Linked DNA regions of Nothobranchius furzeri. The protein of the gene in region 4 binds, or shares a complex with, the protein of the main gene of each other region. Links are inferred from orthologs where the notes say so. Each region holds a gene or a part of one and is shown on either strand. Other genes may lie near its edges. The genes, in order: lin7a, lin7c, lin7b, peripheral plasma membrane protein CASK and dlg1b.

What was found.
Region 1: peripheral plasma membrane protein CASK (region 4) and lin7a share a complex: the UniProt entries of both Homo sapiens proteins name them as parts of the brain-specific heterotrimeric complex. The link is inferred for Nothobranchius furzeri from reciprocal best matches to the Homo sapiens genes CASK and LIN7A.
Region 2: peripheral plasma membrane protein CASK (region 4) and lin7c share a complex: the UniProt entries of both Homo sapiens proteins name them as parts of the brain-specific heterotrimeric complex. The link is inferred for Nothobranchius furzeri from reciprocal best matches to the Homo sapiens genes CASK and LIN7C.
Region 3: the proteins of peripheral plasma membrane protein CASK (region 4) and lin7b are in contact, whole or in part, in an NMR structure (PDB 1Y74), measured with the Mus musculus proteins. The link is inferred for Nothobranchius furzeri from reciprocal best matches to the Homo sapiens genes CASK and LIN7B. Residues at the interface, in NP_001271432.1 of Mus musculus: Ala405, Arg408, Ala409, Glu411, Val412, Glu415, Ile416, Tyr419, Glu421, Asn422, Asp424, Ala425, Glu427, Leu428, Ile431, Leu432, Gln434, Phe437, Ala439, Leu440, Leu441, Thr443, His444, Val447, Ala448; in NP_035828.1 of Mus musculus: Leu10, Asp13, Val14, Arg16, Ala17, Leu20, Leu21, Arg23, Leu24, Ser27, Glu29, Leu30, Pro31, Pro32, Lys34, Leu35, Ala37, Leu38, Val41, Leu42, Ser44, Phe46, Cys47, Ile50, Arg51, Tyr54.
Region 5: the proteins of peripheral plasma membrane protein CASK (region 4) and dlg1b are in contact, whole or in part, in an NMR structure (PDB 1RSO), measured with the Rattus norvegicus proteins. The link is inferred for Nothobranchius furzeri from reciprocal best matches to the Homo sapiens genes CASK and DLG1. Residues at the interface, in XP_038955489.1 of Rattus norvegicus: Gly339, Ala342, Ala343, Arg345, Ala346, Val347, Gln349, Val350, Ser353, Leu354, Glu356, Ile357, Leu360, Thr361, Asp367, Leu368, Phe370, Leu371, Ser373, Val374, Phe375, Asp377, His379, Leu380, Thr382, Leu383, Leu384, Asp385, Leu386, Tyr387; in NP_036920.2 of Rattus norvegicus: Arg4, Asp7, Thr8, Arg10, Ala11, Leu12, Leu14, Leu15, Tyr18, Lys21, Leu22, Glu26, Asp27, Leu30, Ser33, Ile34, Arg36, Val37, Ser39, Ile40, Phe41, Ser43, Leu45, Phe46, Leu49, Ile50, Gln53, Glu57, Val58, Leu60.

What each region holds. Positions count from the first base shown.
Region 1 is NC_091741.1:40,999,051-41,002,562, forward strand, and holds part of lin7a (protein lin-7 homolog A), read right to left. Parts: intron 640-3,512; coding exon 521-639; intron 1-520. UniProt on the Homo sapiens protein: Plays a role in establishing and maintaining the asymmetric distribution of channels and receptors at the plasma membrane of polarized cells.
Region 2 is NC_091749.1:64,462,152-64,466,334, reverse strand, and holds the start of lin7c (protein lin-7 homolog C), read right to left. Parts: upstream 2,813-4,183; 5' UTR 2,653-2,812; coding exon 2,616-2,652; intron 891-2,615; coding exon 772-890; intron 682-771; coding exon 610-681; intron 517-609; coding exon 307-516; intron 1-306. UniProt on the Homo sapiens protein: Plays a role in establishing and maintaining the asymmetric distribution of channels and receptors at the plasma membrane of polarized cells.
Region 3 is NC_091758.1:13,884,076-13,888,197, reverse strand, and holds the start of lin7b (protein lin-7 homolog B), read right to left. Parts: upstream 2,802-4,122; 5' UTR 2,658-2,801; coding exon 2,588-2,657; intron 1,571-2,587; coding exon 1,452-1,570; intron 784-1,451; coding exon 712-783; intron 451-711; coding exon 241-450; intron 74-240; coding exon 1-73. Other genes in the region: snrnp70 (U1 small nuclear ribonucleoprotein 70 kDa), read right to left, coding at 3,727-4,122. UniProt on the Homo sapiens protein: Plays a role in establishing and maintaining the asymmetric distribution of channels and receptors at the plasma membrane of polarized cells.
Region 4 is NC_091754.1:50,548,329-50,552,488, reverse strand, and holds the start of peripheral plasma membrane protein CASK, read right to left. Parts: upstream 2,808-4,160; 5' UTR 2,576-2,807; coding exon 2,511-2,575; intron 1-2,510. UniProt on the Homo sapiens protein: Multidomain scaffolding Mg(2+)-independent protein kinase that catalyzes the phosphotransfer from ATP to proteins such as NRXN1, and plays a role in synaptic transmembrane protein anchoring and ion channel trafficking.
Region 5 is NC_091751.1:34,938,298-34,941,809, reverse strand, and holds part of dlg1b (disks large homolog 1), read left to right. Parts: intron 1-3,025; coding exon 3,026-3,189; intron 3,190-3,512. UniProt on the Homo sapiens protein: Essential multidomain scaffolding protein required for normal development. Recruits channels, receptors and signaling molecules to discrete plasma membrane domains in polarized cells.

The DNA.
Region 1 (3,512 bases), on a different chromosome or scaffold from region 4:
TGGTTTGGGCATCTGGACAGGATGCCTCCTGGACGCCTCCCTGGGGAGGTGTTTCGGGCATGTCCTGCCGGCAGGAGGCCCCCGGGTCGACCCAGGACACGTTGGAGAGGTTACGTCTCCAATCTGGTCCGGGAACGCCTTGGGGTCCTGCCGGAGGAGCTGGTGGAGGTGGCCGGGGAGAGGACGGTCTGGAGCTCCCTAGTTGGGATGCTGCCCCCGCGACCCGGACCCGGATAAGAGGAGGAAGATGACGATGTGCATTCCACCGCAGCTTTGCATTTAAGCTGCAAGATGTAATATTTGTCTTTTTGATAGAACCATGAAAACTTTTTACAACTGTTTCCATTTCTTGACTGCAACAAAAACACAGAGATGATAAAGTACTTCGACAGGGTGACTGAGAAAAAAATCATCACAACCTGGGGCACAGTGACTGCGTGGGAGCAGAGAGATGATAAGACTTGCAGGATGAAGGGTTGGTGTAGAAAGGTCACGGACGAGGAGGACTCATCTGACTCACCTCTCTGATTGCTGTGCAGAACTCGCTCTGCAGCACCTTCTTCAGGGACTGCAGCTTGTGCCCAGGAACTTCCCCCGACTCCTGCAGCTTCTCCAGCAGCTCGATAGCCCGCGCAACATCTGGCAGGAGGAGGGAGGGAGAGAGACCATTGGTATGAGTGAATGTGCATGCGGGAGAAAAAAATTCAATTACATTAACAGCACGGCAATGACAAAGGCGCTAGCGCAAATCAATGGGTGCTTTAATGGAAATAGACTTATTCAAGGCCAGCAGCTGCAGGGATGATGGAGTGGGAATGCAATCCTGGAATCATTTGCATCGACTTCAGTCGGCACATAGAAACGGGGGGGGGGGGGGGGGGGGGGGGGGTCCAGGATTTAAGCAAATATTTTCCTGAAACTACTACAAAGAAGGCGAAGCTGCTGCAACTTAAATAGTTTTCTGCTCTGTATTATTCCTACAGATCTGAGCCGTAAATACAAACTTTTATGAGTTCAAGGTGAACTTAGTTTTTATGTGACTTTGAGTTGGGGACATATTCTGATTCCCTGCAATACCCTACAAGACACAATATTTTCCATTTACAGACACATAAGTCATGGGATTTTTTTTTAGCTGAGTAAAAAACTGCAATATTTGATCATTACGTTATTATTTAAAAGTCTAGCACACCTTGAATGAATCTCCCCATGAGTCTTAAACACCAACGTTTCATATTTTTATAAGAACATTGTAAACAGTCCCATGATTGTAGTATTGCATGTGTTGATGATGACTCTTAGCTATTAGAGTCAAAACATGAACTTTAAATGGTCATCCACACTCCTCCCGTCTAGATTACTGTAACACACTTTTCACATGTTTTAACAAAAAAAACCTTGACCGCCTTCAGTTGGTCCAGAACTCTGCAGCGAGGCTCCTAACTGGAGCAAACAGAAGAGCACACATCACTCCTATTCTGATGTCTCTGCACTGGTTACCCGTTAACTTTAGAGTTCATTTTAGAGTTCTGACTAGAACTTTCAATGCTCTACAAGGTCAGGCTCCTCCCTATGTTACTGAACTGTTAAAGCCTTATGTTCCAACCCGAGCCCTCAGGTCCACACACCAGAACCTTCTAGAAGTTCCAGAGACCAGATATGTCACGTTTTGGAGGGATGGTAGAACCCAAATTGCAGAAACCCAGGATGACACGAGGCAGGAGATGATTAAAGTAAAATCCTTTATTTTTGGAAGGGTGAACACAATAAATCCAGGCAGCGAGTTAAAGTCCAAAAACTCCAAGGCTGGAGAAATAAAGCTAACCAAGAGCACGAGCAAACACAGACAGAATCTATATATATATATATATATATATATATATATATATATATATATATATATATATATATATATATATATATATATATATACAACAATGAACCGACACCAGACACAGACAAGACAGAGCTTATATACACAGGGAGGTGATTAGGGAAAATGGCGGCAGGTGTGTGAAGTGAGGGCTGGAGGGAAGACAGGTGAATCTAATAACCAACATGGGCAAACAGAAACAGAGGAGGGCCAAATAACCTAAAACACAAAACTAAACCAAGAGGCTGCGGGAAGGACTAACACACACACACACCATCAGAACTACACACACAGAGCTGGGGACAAAGAAGCTGGGGACTACAAGGACACAGAATGTAAATGAGACCAAGACCTGGGAGGAATAGACTTAAAGGACTACCAACATAAGACACATAACGGACGCAGACAAAAGACACATGAGGGTGCCAGAGGACAACAAAAGGGGAATCTAAAGAGGGATGGAGGACATAAGGAGACACATGGGGAAGTCACAGACGCAGACATGACAAGATATAGAAGTCGAGGTGATCGCTCCTTCCAGACTGTTGCACCCCGACTCTGGAATGATCTTCCTTTATCCTTACACAGCACTGACAGTCTGGACACTTTTAAAAAAACAGCTAAAGACCATTTTATTTAAAGCTGCTTTTGACTAAACCTTTTATTTTCTTATTTTTAACTCAAAATTTTCATCTTTCATCCGTTTATGAAAAATTTATAATTTTGTGACTTTATTTTTTCTGACGTTAATCTGATTCTGTTTTGAGAGCATTTTGATGTTATGATGTTAATCTGTTTATGATTTTGTGACTTTGTTTTCTTTTGTTTTGATCCATGTGAAGCACTTTGTGATTCTATGTCTGTGATGAGTGCTGTAGAAATAAAATTTACTTATTTACTATTAGAACACCAGATTTTAGCTCAAAATCTGTAAAACCGATCGAGTTTGTACAACTTTTACACTTCTTGACTGGATCACACTGACTCCAGAAGTTGTAAATGCACATCCAATAATTATATTAAAGGAGCCAGATTGCATTATATAAAATATTACCATTGGCACCATTGAGATGTCATTTTATTTTAAACATGAGTTACTTTTTTCAGCCTGAATTTATACCAGGAAATGAAATGATTTGATTCAGTGAAGCTCCGCCCACATCCGCTCAGACAAAACATGCCTACAACAGCATCGCAGGCAAGCCAGTTGCTGTATTGTGTTTGATAATCTAAAGCATCTGCCTTTCGTGTTGTTTTTCCGTGTCCCGATGCCAGTTCAACTCCCAGTGTCGGCAGTAATTTATGTAGCCAGCTGAAGCTGAGTTCATGTTTTCATATTTTACTTTTATTGATTCTTTTCTGTAAATTATTTTGTGTTTGTTAAGATCTTTGAATTTGGTCGTTTCCAAGCAGCATTTTATTGATTTACTCTACTGACCTAACATGGAGTCACACTGGCTAAATAAACAAAGAAAGGGGGAGAAAAAAAAACGTATAATTTGAATTGTTTACCAATAAAGGGTTAAAAACACAATACTGGCAAGTGCGGCTAAAGGAGAAGAAAAAAGTTACTGTTGCAACCGGGAGTCAAACTAAAAAACAGCATGCCAGTCTGTCAGTTACTCTAACCACTGAACTA
Region 2 (4,183 bases), on a different chromosome or scaffold from region 4:
CTGATGGGGCTTCCTCGTCCTCCTCATCAAGCTAACTAATGGAGATGTAATCGGACTCAGACTTTATACCTGCTTATGAGTGATCACAGGATTATGAACACGTAGCCCTTTAAAAACCAGAATATTAAAAAAACTTCTAACACTAAAAGTCAGTCGTTTGGGCTTTTCTGTATGCAGAAATTTCTGAAGATGCATGGATTATCCCTCCCCAAAAAAGCAACATGCTCTAAAACCTGATACGTGCTTCATATTAAGATTCAAATTTACAATTCTTGACCTAATAATGATTCTCTGAGCTGCACGTACCACCCCATTAACAGAGAGAAGCTGGTCGCCTCTTTTCAGGCCTCCATGTCGGTCAGCGATGCCTCCTGGGATGATCCGCGAGATGTAAATAGGCGAGTTTTGCTCCTTTCCGCCCATTATATTGAAACCCAGACCTTCTTCTGTCTTGGGCAGTTCCACAACACGAGGATGGGAGTGTCCTTCACTTGCTGCAAAAGCTGCCACAGTAGCCTTTGAAAATAAAACAAACTCTTTAAAAATGTACAACAATTGATGCATAAAGTAGTTTTGAGACGGAGGAGATTTCTTGTGTATGAGCTTTACTTTAGCTGTGGCGTTGGCTCTGACCTCAGGACTGCTGTTGATGTCTACCGTTTCATACACATGCTCATAAACCTGAGGGGGAAAAAGCACCAAACGAACAGAACTTTATAACAAGGAGGAAGAAAAATCTGTGGAGTTTAGAGTTGGAATGAAGAGTCTCACCTCTCTGACAGCGTTACAGAATTCACTCTGTAGGACTCGCTGCAGCGCCTGCAGCTTCTGCGGAGGCACTTCCCCTGTTCTCTGCAGCTTATCAAGCAGCTCAATTGCACGATTGATATCTATCAAAGAGAGCATAATGCCATCACAGCTTACACACAGTCCAAAACAAACCACTATAAAAGATTAAAATGAGCATTAAATTTGCCTGTATTGATGCCAGCACTCAAGTCTTAAAAGTAAAAGCAGAAAAGGTGCTCGATAAATCTACGTAAAAGGACTATTTGATTTATATTCTTGTCTTTTACTGGACATGTCTTTAAATATTCTAAGACTTCCATTGGGTTTGTTCTGAAAGAAGTGATCTGCATAAGTGAAATGAAGCAGATTCAAAATCCTGAATGGTGTTGAAAAATAAAAAAAGAGAACATCTGCTGGGTAAAAATTTTTAAGAAAATTTTAAATAGTTCAGAGGGTTTTTATATCAACCAGTAAAAAATTACATGTGAAATAAATGACTGTAAAATATAAACAGCACCCCCTACTGCACAGGAAGGCCAAAACTTGTTTATCAATCACACTCATTATGTATTATTAAAGGTGCAGTATGTGGAAATATAGTGAGAATTTTACAGCGAGAAAATCCCAAATGAGTCATGTTTTGGTCATTTTGCGAGGAAAGTTCTACTGAAACATATTTCATTTCCAGCTGGCTGCAGGGATTATCAGTTTTTTTCTTTTTTCAAAACAAAGGAAGGAGGGACATAGTTATTGTTTACCATCAGTGAGTTGGGTTGTCGTGTCTCCTGCGAGCTAACACTGCAGCGCAGACAACTGTAATTTGACGACGGCCGGCAAAAAGCTCCAGAGTTTTTTAATGTGGTTGACGTAACCAAATTTTACCAAAGGATGTCATTTTTACTTAATTTCTACATAATGCACATTTAAAGTCATCTCGATTGAGCGGCACAGACCGATGTTAAATGATCAGATTCCTGACATTTATTAACTAAATGTTTGTTTATGTATTTAGCAGACGCTTTTGTCCAAAGCGACTAACAAGTGATAATCGGCATAAATGGAAGAGAAACGAGTTCCCACAACAGATTTGATCATTTGAACACTTTTAAAGCCACTAGAGACGAGTACATTTAAGGCTAAAATACACATCACCTACTTTCAACGGTTTCTAAGTGATTAAAAACAACCTGCAATTTTTCAAAATATCAAAAAATTAAGATATGTAGCAGGATACTGGCAGAAATAAAGTTTGCATTACAAATATCTCTTCATGAGCTCCCAGTTCAATTCAGAAATATATTTAAAATCGATTTCAAAAAGCACTCAGTAAACAAGCTCCGATTAAAGATTTCTTAGTTTTTCTTTGATGTTTGTGACCAGAGCTGGCTCACAATGAAAGTCGGACTGATACTTTCACTTGTTTTTACACAGATGTGACAATTACAGCTTATTTCACTTTAACAAATGCAATTTGCGTCATGTTCGACGTGTAATTTCTGAGAAGCAAAACGTGCCTTTACTGCTTTAATGACAATATTATACCTCGCATTTATTTCCCAACATACTGACTGGGCTGGTCAATCGCTGCTGTTATTAGCTACTTAGCTAGTGAGCGAATTAAACAAATACCGCTAAGGTATGCTTCGTTTAGCTTGGTCAAGTAAAACGCAGCTCTACGGGCAATATCAGATATATACATTTATGACAAGCAAATGTCAAAATATGTACCAAAAAACAACTCCCAGTTTGATTCAAACAACTAGAGCTAAACTGGGTAAACGTCTCTCGTTCACAACAAATAAAGCTAGCTAGCTAATTAACATTACCTCTTTCCAGTCGCACAGGTTCCCCCAGAGATGCCATTCTCGAAATGAGAGGCTATCTGGTATTAAATAGATACTGCGATACAAGAAATATACAAAAAAAAAAAAAAAAAAACTAAATTCGTAAATCCAGCCGACCGTTTCGTACGCTTAACTGGCACGATAAATCAGATTAGCTAAGTTAGCTCGGCTAGGCTAGCTGCCAGTGTCATGGTGCGTTCAGGGACCCTAGTAAAGCTGATTACTCGGTGGACAAAGCATTCTGTTGACATTTTTAGGTAATTATAAATGACAGATTGAATTCTGCGTATTTCTTATCTTGTTTATTTGTATTGATGTGAAATTTTAAGAGATCAGACGCAGCAACAAAATCACAAATTTTGTAGCAGTTACTTCTGTAACTAAATCTGGAACAGAAAACTTCATTTTAGAAGTTTAGTGTCATTCTGAATACTTTTAGTTCAAGATTAGGTTTCTAGGTTTGATTTAGCTTTATAGAAATATGAATGAGATGATGATGAGTAACCAAAGCAACATTTTTATTGATATTTTTCACTTTCTTAATAGCAAATAATAATTTCAGCTCATCAAACTCAGTTTTTCCAGTCTTCATCAGATTGCACCCTGTCAGTGTCTGGACACCAGGAACCTTGTTAGGAAGCTTGAATGAATGTTCTGGATGGTATCCAGGAAAGCTGATGGGAGGAGCAGCCTCTTTAGTGCCCTCCTCTGGTTTGCTGCAGCTCTTCTAGAGGCTCTGGTTCATAAATCAGCAGAAAACAGCTGCTCTCTGTGGGCTGAAACTTTGCAGGATGATTCATTTCTGACCCCACCCCAGCTGGTGATGAAACACAAACAATTTACCTTGAAAAGCTGGTGGTGAAAAACGGAACCCTGCTGTGACGTACGACTGGATCTCCAACACTGTGCTGCATCAGTAATTTCCTTTATTGGACAACAGATGCTCTGATTTGCTTGTTTTCATTCATCAGGGACAAACCTGGGTCAAATAAATGCCACAGTATTCATGTATTGTCTCTAAGCTCTTTTGATGCTCACATTAAATCTATAATTAGACGTCTTCTTGCTTGCAGAGTGCAACGAAAATGGCCCAAGGTCTCTGTTCAGAGAAACTGGAGCACATACTTTATGGAGCAAGCTTCCCTGTTTGATTCATTGTATTTTTTTATGCAGAGGATACGTTAGTACTTGACTAGGGCAAAACGGCTTCAACTCCAACTTAAGGTGGAATTTCTTTGAAGAGCAGGGCAGTTTTTTTTCCTGCAGCTGCATTGTGGCCTTGAAAAGAAGCCCGTTGTTTGATGTTTACGACAGCAGCACATTTAAGGATCTACTGCATGCTTGTCGTCTCTCTTTGAGTCTAAGTAGTTTAAATTGTGCTTCAAACAAAGCAAAACAAAGATACCTCACAGAATTCCAACTGCTGTCACTGGTGGGTCCATCAAGGCAGAGTTTATTTTTCTTCGTTCGGCAGATCTCAGAAAGTTGCAGCGTCCTCGTTAGTCGCACTTACCTTCAGGTTGGAGAGGAGGAAGTAAAATGAAGTGTTT
Region 3 (4,122 bases), on a different chromosome or scaffold from region 4:
CCACCAACTTGACCGAACCCTGTGCGGCTTTCAGCAGCTCCACAGCCTTCTCGTGTTGCTCCGCCTCAACGCTCTGCATGGTCACAAGCACACAGCTAGTGAACAACACGATCACTCATGAATCTGAACCACATGCTGCCCACACGGCCTCTAAAACATCAGGAAACTGGGAGGCATGCTGTTTTTTATCTGAACCTTCTAGGGAGCAGAACCTCCTCACAAGGAACCGGAGCTTCTTACCACTCCGTTGACAGACAGCAGCTGGTCTCCTCTCTTCAGCCCTCCTTGGCGATCGGCTACTCCTCCAGGAATAACTCTGGAGATGTAGATCGGGGAGTTCTGCTCTTTCCCCCCCATGATGTTAAAGCCCAGCCCCTCTTCAGTCTTGGGGAGCTCCACCACCCTGGGGTGGGCGTGACCCTCGCTGGCTGCAAAGGCTGCCACGGTGGCCTGAAACAACAAGAACCTCCAATGATCAGCAAAGTGCCAGAACCGGATCGATGGTTGCAGAACATCTTAGTTCTCGCAGCATTCTGATGGAGGTTCTCACACTTCAGTTCAGTTTATTTATGTAGCGCCAAACCGGGACAAGAGGCACTTCACAAGGTAAAGCTGCTTCTGAGCAGGAAGAGCTCCTGTCGGAAACTGGAGGTGTCATCACACTAGAGCCGACTGCATCTGGACTCGGGTCCAGGACTTAGGTTCTAGTACCTTGGCTGTTGCTTGTGCTCGCACCTCTGGTCCTCCAACTATGTCTAGAGTGTCGTACAGCTGCTCGTACACCTGGAGGTCAACAGAACAGACAACAGGTGTCACATCAGGTCTAAGCTGTGTTTACAGGATTCAGTCTGAAGGTTTGTGATTAAACACAACGATTCATGGAGGAAGCACAGGAACGGCTGAGAAACCTCAGATCCTTCAAGACCTGTGACCGCCCTCCTGGTGGACGTGTCCAGTCAGCCGTCATGACCCACTCTGAGTTCATCAGCTGAGTAGGGTGTGTCACCTGGAGTTTCTATAGTTTCACAATATTCTAACTTTCTGACAGAATTAGTCTTTTCCTCATCTGTAGCCAGAACCAAAAGCATCCCACTCCGAGTGATGCATCTACGAATCAAACGGGTCCCACTCACCTCATGATGTTCTAACGTTGGAGCTGTGCCTGTAGATGGAACAGCTTGATTTGACGGAAATCGGACAACAAAAGGCTGTAACACACTTCCTGTAACCAGTGGTGTGTCCAGATCTTTTAAAATGGGGTGGCCCAGGTGAGGCGCATGGGTGGCACCAATGGTTATGCTTTTTTTGTTTTACCCCCAAGCCTTTTGTGGACAATGAAAAGCCTATTTAAAGAAATTAGTGTGTTGGCACCTGGGGTGGCCAATCAGATTCCAAGGGTGGCATGTGCCACCCCAGGCCACTCCCTGGACACGCCCCTGCCTGTAACGTACCTCCCTGATGGCGGCGCAGAATTTGCTCTGGAGGACTCTCTGCAGGGCTTGCAGCTTGGGAGGGGGCAGCTCCCCGGTCCGCTGCAGCCGGTCCAGCAGCTCGATCACCCGGCACACATCTAAAAGACAAACCTGGGTTACACCGGGCTTCACCCGTAGCCCCCACCCATTACTCCTGCTGGGTCCGGAGTGATGTAGCCGTCCACCTTCTTCAGATATTCTGGTTCTGTAGACGGTTAGCCATCACCCAATGGTCAGTCTGGATCTGAAAGAGCATGACCAGCACCATCCATCACCAACCAACAGAACCACATGGACACACAGCTTTCTGCTGAGCAGGGCTACGCCTTGATGCTGGCTCGGTCCATGGCTGTGCCTCTGGACCAGAACCACAGCAGTCAGATCTGTGCTCTGGATCTCTGCAGGGAGAGCTGAGTGCTCCAGAACCATAGAGGGACTGGATATACTTCATAGAAACCCAAAGTCGACAAGGACCCGGTTCAGCTGAACGTCTCAATCCCTTTGGAACCCACAGCTAGGTTCTGCTGAACTAAACTCATATGTAGGTTTGGTTCTGTTGGGTTTTTAGACTACCAAACTGAGTCGGTGACCCAGGGCTGGTCTGGCTGACCCTAAACCAGTCCTGGTCCTGAGAGGCCAACATCCGGTCAGCTCCAACACTGATGATCAGAACCAACCCAGAAGGTCAGTTGTGCGGCGGTCAGAACCTGAGTTTCAAATTAAAAGCCTCATGAAAATATGGCTTTAGGAAAGGGTCACGTGACATAAATGTAACATTTTTACTACTGAGCTAATATTTACCCACTCACACCTGAGACGTCTCGGTTCGGAACAAGCTAGTTGGTACCGGTCCGGATCATAATGGTCCATCTTTGCAGGTGGCTATATAGAGCCGGTCCGGTTCCGACAGGCTACCGGAACCGCTCAGACATTAAACATGCAGCTGAAAACGGAACCTGGACAGGCCCAACCCGTCTGTGCTAGGCTCCCGAGTCCGAACAGAACCGCGTGAAGCAGGAAGCTCCAGAGCGGCTCACATTTGACATCAGTACATGTTTAGTCTCTGGATCCGGGATGCAAACCCGACCCAGTTCTGCTGCAGACCCGAAACCTACCTCTTTCCAGGCAGAGCGGTTCGGTCGTAGCCGACATGTCGGCTTCCTTAGGGTGGTAGGAGGACATCATCCTGAGGTCCTTGTCTGATGGTCACGGCAGGTTCTGGTCCAGGAGTCTCACAGCTGCTCTGATGAGGGCATGATGAGACCGGGCTGGTTCCGAGAGGCTGAGAGAAGCGCAGCAGCAGCAGCCCCCTCCGGGTCAGAGCTGTTCTGGACCGAACCACTGGGGAGGTTCTCATCACAACCTCGTAGGTGAGACAGTCCAGACCGTTCAGCTGGACGGAACCGGTGGGGTAAACCTGAACTCTAAAACTAGAACAGGAAACGTTACGGGCCAGGTCCACGTCAGAACCTGAACCCAAACCCGAGAATAAAATAATCAGCAGCAGATAACTTAATCCGACGTGAGGCTGCAAGTACAGAACCGGGACCAGCAGTCAGCCCCGCAGGACCCACATCTGTAGTTCTGGCGATGAAACCACTTCAGAACCTCTACGGTCTGGGTCAAAATAAAACTAGAACCTCGACTCAGTAGAAACTGAACAGTGGGTTCTCCATCCTGGTTCTGGAGGACCGGTATCCGGCAGGTTTTGGTTCCTCTGCTCAAACACCTGTTCGGCAGCACACGAAGCTCTGTGGATTAAAGGCAGGGAAAGGTCTAAAACATGCTGGAAACCGGGTCTCCAGGACCAGGACTGAGAACGTGTTTTATAAAAATATGAGTCAGAACGTCGTCCTGGTCAGCAGGACGTTCAGAAAACGTTTAGGGATTAAAGTGTGTGTGTGTTGCACCAGCACCTCAGGCAAAAGGCTGTGTACTAAAATAATCACCACTGTCACAATCAAGACATCTTTATTAAAATGACCTGCAGATATAAAAAAAAGATGAAAAACCAAAACAGGCTCAGCTGCTCCACCACAACACGTCTGCTTCTAACACCTCTAAACACACCTGGCTCCGGCTTTAAGCTCCACCCCCGACGAGCAGGGCGATCAGCGGACCTCAACATGGTTGCCATACGAGCGGAAAAAGGAAAGCTAACTAAATGTTTGGATCCTTAGGAGGTTCTGGAGGCCTGGGACAGGAAGTGGAGGGCTTGTTTAGGGGGACTTCCTGTGGGATGGGGACCTCATGCTTAGTACTCATCTGGTGCCTCCATCTTGTATCCGTTTTCGCCAGATCCATAGTCATCAGCTGACGGTGCAGACTGCTGCTCCATCATTCCATCCTGACTGTATTCCTCCATGTTTGGCGGAGCGCTGTCCTCCTCATTACCCATGTCCTCTTGAGGACCCATGTCTTCTCGATTGGACCCGTGGCGCTCCTCCCTCCGCTCCCCCCTGTCTCTGTCCCCACGCTCCCGCTTGTGTTCCCTATCTCTGTCTCGTTCCCTCCGCCGGTCTCTGTCCCTGTGACTGCGCCTCCTGTCTCGGTCTCGGTCTCTGTCCCTGTCCCTCTCTTTGCGCTCCTCTGTGGCCTCAGCCACCTCCCCTTCATTTTCCTCCAACATGCGCTCAGTTCCCTCAGGGGG
Region 4 (4,160 bases):
AACGGACTCGAAGTTCTTAACGTTTTTGGAATATGTGTTTATATTTCCTTCTATTATTGTTTTTTATTTTTTAGCATAACCCAACAGTGTTGCTGCTTATGACTTTGTTTCACTCTTTGTTCAGTGACAAATAAACTTACTTATTAAAGGTGTGGATCATTCGTTTAATCAAAACATTTGCAGTGGTCTCTAGTAGGATCGAATGCCTTGGAAGTCGTACTCTGGGGAAAAAAGATCTGGTGCGTCTGTTTGAGAAACTAGAAAATGCCACATCAGAGCAGAGCTTCAGATGACAGGATTGGACTCTTACTTCCTTATTCTGGATTCCTTGCCTCTGACTGGCTAACAGCAATGTGATTCTACCACTCACTCCATTTCTTCTGCTATGCTGATGTGTTGCCTCCACAAAGAACACAAGTATGAAGGAGTTCTGGCGTGTGGTGGAGTTGCTAATGCTAAAGGTTAGCTTCTACTAGCAGAGACGTTCTCTGCTGTTTCCTGGACGCTAAACCAACAACAGCCTTCTCCGTCGTGAGTCGAGATGGGGGAGTCCGTGAACGATAAGTGACAGTGTGACGTAGATGTCAGGGCTTTCTAATCCTAGAGTTTCACCGTCTATTTTCGATCAGAAGCTAATGCAGGACATAGGTGTAGGAGACTATTTTCATGTTCAGCCTGCATGAAAATCTCAGTGACTGATTATAATCAGAAATAATAATTAATGTTTTTTAGTGAACCACACCTTTAACAAGGCCAGAACCGTGTCTGAGTCAATGAGAGACAAACTGCTGTTCATCCCGGTACTTGGTTCAAATACCAGAGGGCGTGGCCGCCATATTGTGTTTACTGGTTTCAGATTGCTACCTGGCTCCTGGGGTTGACTCCACTTTATGTGCTTTTTATTGGTTACTAGAAATACCCCAGAAGTGCTTTGGGTAGCATCAACAGGAAAAGCTACCCTACTACAGTCTTTCAGTCACACTAACTGTGTTTAACTGTTACATCCCACCCAGGACTCCCTAAAAAAGGAGCATTTTACTGTGCAGCAATGTTCATGTCTCTGTGTTAAACCTAACAAGTGCCCCTCAGCAGATAAAGATAAGGAATAAATATTTCAAGATTAAGGTCGAGATGTTCAAAAACGGTAAAGGTAGGCTACTCTAAAAGAGGGAATACAAAAAGAAAGTCTTGAATCCACAGAAGTAACTCCACTTCCTTCAATTTTTCACAAAGAGTCTCCAACATATAACAAACGCCTCAAAACAACGTATGACTCTTCTTCAATAGTAAAAGTAAAGCTGCAGCCTAAACATATGGCAAGTAAAATAATACTACTAATAATAAATGTAATATATGTACAAGTCATGCACTAAAATAAAGTTATTTTGAATAAAACCCAATTTAGTTCGGTTGCAAGAATCCATGTGCACAAGGTATTGTGTATGTAGGTCTTAACCAGTGCTGGTTAGAATCTAGTTTTAGTTTTTAGCCACAAAAATCACAGCAATTTTGACTTCATTGTGTAATTTACTTTACATTTCCTTTTATTTATTCTTCTGAGAGCCTCTGATTCTCTGGTATAAGATAGTTTAGACCAAAAGGCTTCTAAAGTTTTCACTTGTTACCATTATCCGATCAACCAGTTTAGTCTAACTCATAATTTCCAGTGCCAATATACACTTGTAGGGGTCCAATCACTTTAGATCCTTATTGGTGCATGACCAAACTTTTTAAACATCTGTGCAAAATATCACAACTACTTCAATTCAAGCTAGGCCATTTGTCATATTTTGACATTTTGAATGAGAACAGCATTTTTATGTCAGTATTGGACGATAATGTCGAGTAATTGTAGTATTATATGCCACCTGATCAGTGCCAAAAGCTGGTATATAATTTTGAATTCAGTGCATTTTTTTTTATTTTGGTTAAATTTGTGAGGCGTGCAGTCGACAATCTTTTTTCAAAACTGATCACCCAACAATATGAAGAATCCTTGGGGGGGACCTGATCACTGGATTTTTTACAAGCTTCACGAGAAAGGATTGTCAAAATGTTGGGGGGGAAAAGCTTCAAATCACTGCACCTTTAATTGCAAATTGTGGAAAATCTGATGCAAATATCAAACATTTTAAACTCCAAATGTCATAAAAAGCATGAATTTAACATCTCTTGTACATAGTCTGTCACACAACCCTTCTTTATTATTTACCTTTGATTTCTGATTGAATCTAACCTAAGAAATAAGTCGCAGCAGACTACAGAAGATGACAGCCACATTTCTCAGGTCTAATGGACAAAGAACTGGACTGCTGATCCAGCTGTGCCTCCAGACTTCCTTTCCTGGACCTCTCTGGGCCTTGAAGCCCCCGTGGACATCAAGATGGCACACACTAACCCGTCTCACCCACTCACTGGACTTTCCCCCTCCATAAACCTGCCTGCACATGACCAAATTACGCTGATTGAAGCTAAATGTGGGGATGTGGAGTCCAGTTGTGCATACTTACTTGCCGATCACCTCGCACAACTCGTAGACATCCTCGAACAGCACGTCGTCGTCCGCCATGGTCATCCAGGTAAACGAGGATGCTCTCCAGAAGAAATCCCTCCCACTCGGGGTTTCAAGTAATCACCGACACCGTGTGGGGTTTTATTTGTTTTGGTTATTCTTCTTTAATTGAGACCGACGACACGAGCTCTGTGCGATTCAAACCTCCACGAGAATGTCAGTAAAGAGTGAAACTGCAGCCACTGAGGACAGCGAATTAGCCGGCTAGCCACATTAGCTCGTTGGCGAAGAAACACCCCTCTCTTTACATGCCTCGGGTTGAATTTGCCTGGTTCGGATCTCCCACGGTAGCATCCGCTTACAGTGCCCGACCGAGACGCGCTCTTCGCCCGGGATTAGGCTAGCTGGCCGAGCTAAAGGCGGTGAGCTTAAATAAAAAATAAGCTAGCTGTCGACGGGATCACCGGTCGTCTAGCACCGCCACTGCGACGTGCACACCCAGTATCACAGATGGCTTATTCCCAACCGAAATGTGTCCGGGGCTGCGGTATGTGCTTCAGCTTCCCGAGCCCAGATCAAAAACCTCCACCTTCATGTCCACGGCCGCTCTGCCCTCGCGTATACCACTCTGTGCTTGAAGAGGATGGAATTATATCGTCATTCGGTAAAGCCAGCACACCCTTTCGTCCACCGTTGCTCCAGTTCTTACGCTGGCTCAGATGCTGCTGGCTGCTGCCTGTTTTCTCCGACTTCCAGAAATGCCTGGCTCCTCCCTCCGCCGTCCAGGAAACTGGATCCGAGCAGATCCAAAATGGCCGCCGAACGGAGCGCAAGCACGGGTTGGAATCGGAGCGACGCTCGAGCCAAGATGGCGTGGGACGAGGGTAGGATTCAGGCGCAGTTTCTTACTAATCTCTTTTAAAGGATCTATCCACTGGATCCCTGCGCAGGCGTCGAGCAGACAAGTCTCACCTTACGTCAGCCTTTCCCCGCTCAGATCCATCATTTTATTCCGCTTTGAATAATGTTTTATGTCATTAATAACTCATTTATTACACACCGATTACCTGCTGTGAATGAAAACACGTTACACAGGCACGAGCACGAATGACATCGGTAACTTCTGCAGTGTATCCCTTACAACAGTCATAAATGCATTTAGAATTTTGATAATTAGGAATAATAGGCTCGATACATGTGTCGTTACAATTTCTATATTCAGTGGATTTTCTTTCTTCTGTTTCTAACAAATCTGAAGCATTTTCTGGTTTGATGGTCATAAAAAATAAAGAAAAAAGCATTAAGCCCTGTGGAGTTTATGGCTGATTTTAATGCAAAAGGTTTTCTAACTGAGATACAGGTGGGATTTCCTCAGGTGTGGGCGGACAGAGTGGAGTTTGATTGAAAACGCCCTCTGGAGGCCGGGCTAGGATCTGCATGCATGTGACATTTAGATTTAACCAAGAAAGTGTGAAACTATGAAGGAAAATCTCAACGTTTTATGACAAAACATAGTCATATTAGTCCATTACAATTAACAATCTGGAGCCACTACAACACCGTATCTAATATTTCACTGGGAGGATGGGAATTATGTGAGAATGCTATCATCGAACTACATTTTAGCACATAGTGTGACTAACCCTGT
Region 5 (3,512 bases), on a different chromosome or scaffold from region 4:
CCCAGCAGCCAGTCCTTTGTGTCGTTTTAACGGTTTTTCATTCAGACTAAAAGCGAACCGTTAGTGAGAGATTCTGATGTTTTCTGGGTTCTGGAGTCGGTTCTGATCTGGTGGGAGTTGAACCGCCTGTCTGAAGCCCGTTGACTTGTAGGCGGAGTGTTTTCCACGTGGATCCGTGTCTCTGGTGCTGCCGGGTTAGGACAAATCTCGGGCTTTGGACCTTTATTTGGAATTAAAATCATCACACCTGGTTCTGCTCCTCAGATGGGTCTGCTCTGCTAGAACTGGGTCGGGTCTGTGATTATTGAAGGTTCTGGTTCAGATCTTGTCTGAAGATCAACAGGAATGAGTCTGACTCTTTTCTAATAAAATGATCCATTAGAACCGTAGAACCCGTAGGGACGGTTCCGGGCTTGGAGCTCGTGTTGCTTCTGCAGAAACATCTCAGCGTTCCTCGACTCCTCCAACCTCTTCCGATGAAAATCCTCTTCCTCAGGAACTATAAGCGACATGAAACCCGAGTTCTGGTTCTGACCCATAGCTGATGGTCCTCGCGTGTTCCGACGTTCCCTTCATCTGCTCGTTGCTGCTTCTGTTTCCTTGAAAAGTTTTTAGACTTTTTATGATTCCCAGAATAAATCCCTGTGACCTATGACCTTAATCTTGCGACCACCAGATTTGAATCCCGTCGATCCGATCAGGCTGGAGGAATAAAACCGTTCGGAGCGTTTTTCATGTCTGGAATTCTGGGATGGAGGAACCAGAAGGCTGGAGAAGATTCCGTAGCCTAAATGTTTGAGGGTGAAGGAGCGGGTTCTGCTTGGAGCCTGGCTGGAAAACCGAGCCTGGAGCAGCTTTAAAGGCCAGCGGTCTGAGAGGAAACATCTGTGCCTGCTGGCGGTCAGCTCCTGCTTCCATGGTTATTTTAGACGTTCCTTCTCTGGAAGCTCTGAACAGAGTCCAAAAATAAAGAAGGCATCGGTGCTAAAATATCCCCCTGGAAAGACTAATTATCTCCCACAGAAGGGAAGGGAATTACGGGAATCATGGGATTCAAATTCTCCCTGAATTTACCTCCAAAATCCCACAAACAGGAACTTCTGGTTTAAAGATAATTGGCTCATAACGATTTCACTTCCAATTAGGGTTGTCACGGTGTGAAAATTTAACCTCACGGTTATTGTGACCAAAATATCACGGTTTTCCGTATTTTTTTAAACGTGCTACATTTTCAGACAATTAAATAAACCCTGTATATCAGGAAAATATTGTCCTCAGTTTGTGTCAAAATTTTGCCTAAAACGTGTTATTTTGTAATTATGTTGTTTATTTGTTTACATTTTTTCCCTTTAGTCTTTAAAACACCAATATTTGCCCATAACTTCTTATTTTTTGTCTGCTTGATGTCATCATTTTAAAAATATTAGACCAAATGATACTCAGTACTCAAGTAGCCTTCTAATCAGATACTTTTTTACCCTTACTTGAGTAATAAACCCTATATCAGGAAAATATTGTCTTCGGTTTGTGTCCTTCCAGTGAGCTTTGCAGATGTGGGAAAATGTCATCAGGCAGTAATCATTGTTAAATTCATAATTATTCTCGGAGAGAGACCAACTCTTATCTGCCCCTGGGAGCCCCGTAATGCATAGCGTCATTTCAACATGGGGGTGTCCGCAACACGGTTTTTATGCAGGCTGCTTTAGCGACTCGTTGCATTCTCCCTCCACCCAAATCCTCGGATCACACATTTTAGCTAAAACGCTAACGTTAGCTTGCCTTGCGTTGACTGTAGAGTTGTGGGTGATGGTCACGCAGATGTGTCATGAGATATGAGGCGTTGCTGCCTTTCACAGAAACTTTTTCTGCACGTGCTGCAAACAGGATAGCCGTCTTCTATCAAATGTCCCTCGGCATTCTTCAAATATCCCAAAAAAATGCCCACACTTCACACTTTGTCTTCTTTGAGGGATAATAAATGTCCTGAGCGCTGCCGTCTCCTCCTTTGGCCATTATTTCAGCTTTAGCTTCAAGAAAGTTTGGATTTTAAACAACAAAGTGCGCATGTGCCGCCTGCAACTTCAGCAGATGATACAGTGGCTGGTAAGGGTCACCGCGCCTACACCACAGCCACGGTAATCCACCGAGATAATATTTTTTTTTTAAAACAAGACGGTTATTATTATTGTCAATTTTTTTATTGGGGTTTACCGCTACACCGGTTACCGTGACAACCCTACTTCCAAGCAAATGAATCAACTTTGAATGGTTAAATTTAAGTGAATAGAAACAATTTTATTCTTAAAGCACTACAGGAAGTAGAAACCGTTGCTGTAGAGTCTAAATCTGAAGTTTCAGATGAATATGTTCAGATTCCCTCATCCCAATCCCGATTAATGTGTTTGAGTTCCCAGCAGCTGCTTTTATTCCTAAATAATTCCCGTTCTGATAATGTAATCCTCTGGTTCCCATCATCTGGGTCGGTACGGGTCGGGTCAGCAGAGAAAAGAGATGCTGCTTTTTCTTTTTTAATCTTTATGAAATGTTGATCAGGAGCTGAAGAAGACTCCTGTGGTTCTGGTGCTGACCCAGTTCTGAGGTCTTGTATGTGCAGTATGTGAATCGGTACCGGTCCAGTTCTGATCAGATTAGTTATCAGTAGTGATGTCCCAATACAACTTTTCACTTCCGACACAACACCGATATGGCAACCTTCAGTACTGACCGATACCAGCAGGAATGCCACAGTGATTTTACTCATTCGGAGAACAAGAGCCGATTACAGTAAGTATGAAAAAAGTGACACTTTTTTCTTTACCTTTGTTGCAATAACTGTATTTATATGGGAGGTTTTGATGCCGCCCGATATAATCTGATTGTTTTTGGGCCGATATCGATATCAGAACGGGACTTCCCTAATCATCAGGTTTATGGATTCCAGACGAGTTTCTGCAGCTTTCAAACTTTTAGTTTATGGTCTGATTAAAGCATGTCCCTGTCCCTGTCCCATGCTCTGTCCTCCCAGATATCCAGGAATTTTACGAAGTGACCTTATTGGACAGTCAGAGATGGGCGGAGTCTTCCAAGGGGGCGGACCCCATGGCGCCTGTCCACCTGTGGGACTTCCCGAGTCTTCAGAGCACAACGGTGACCTCGGAGACTCTGCCCAGCCTTAGCACCAGCATCGAGGTAAGATGACGAAGAAGAAGAAAGAGCTTTTCTATAGCGCCTCTCAAGATAAAAGTCACGAGGCGCTTAAAGGCGTAAGAACAGATCGGTCCTGCTGGAACTGGTCGGAACATTCTGGACTCAGGCGTGTTTCTCTCATGTCCCGGTTCTGAAGGTCCAGTAGATGCACAAAGAGTTAAAGTAGAAATGGATAAAACTAGAATTTTAGATAAAGCAGAACTGAAGCTGCTCTAACAGAACCGACTCCCAAGTTCTCCTGTGAGGTCCTCAGGATCTGATCGGACAGGAGAAATGGGTCGGTACCGGTGGTTCAGACAGAAACA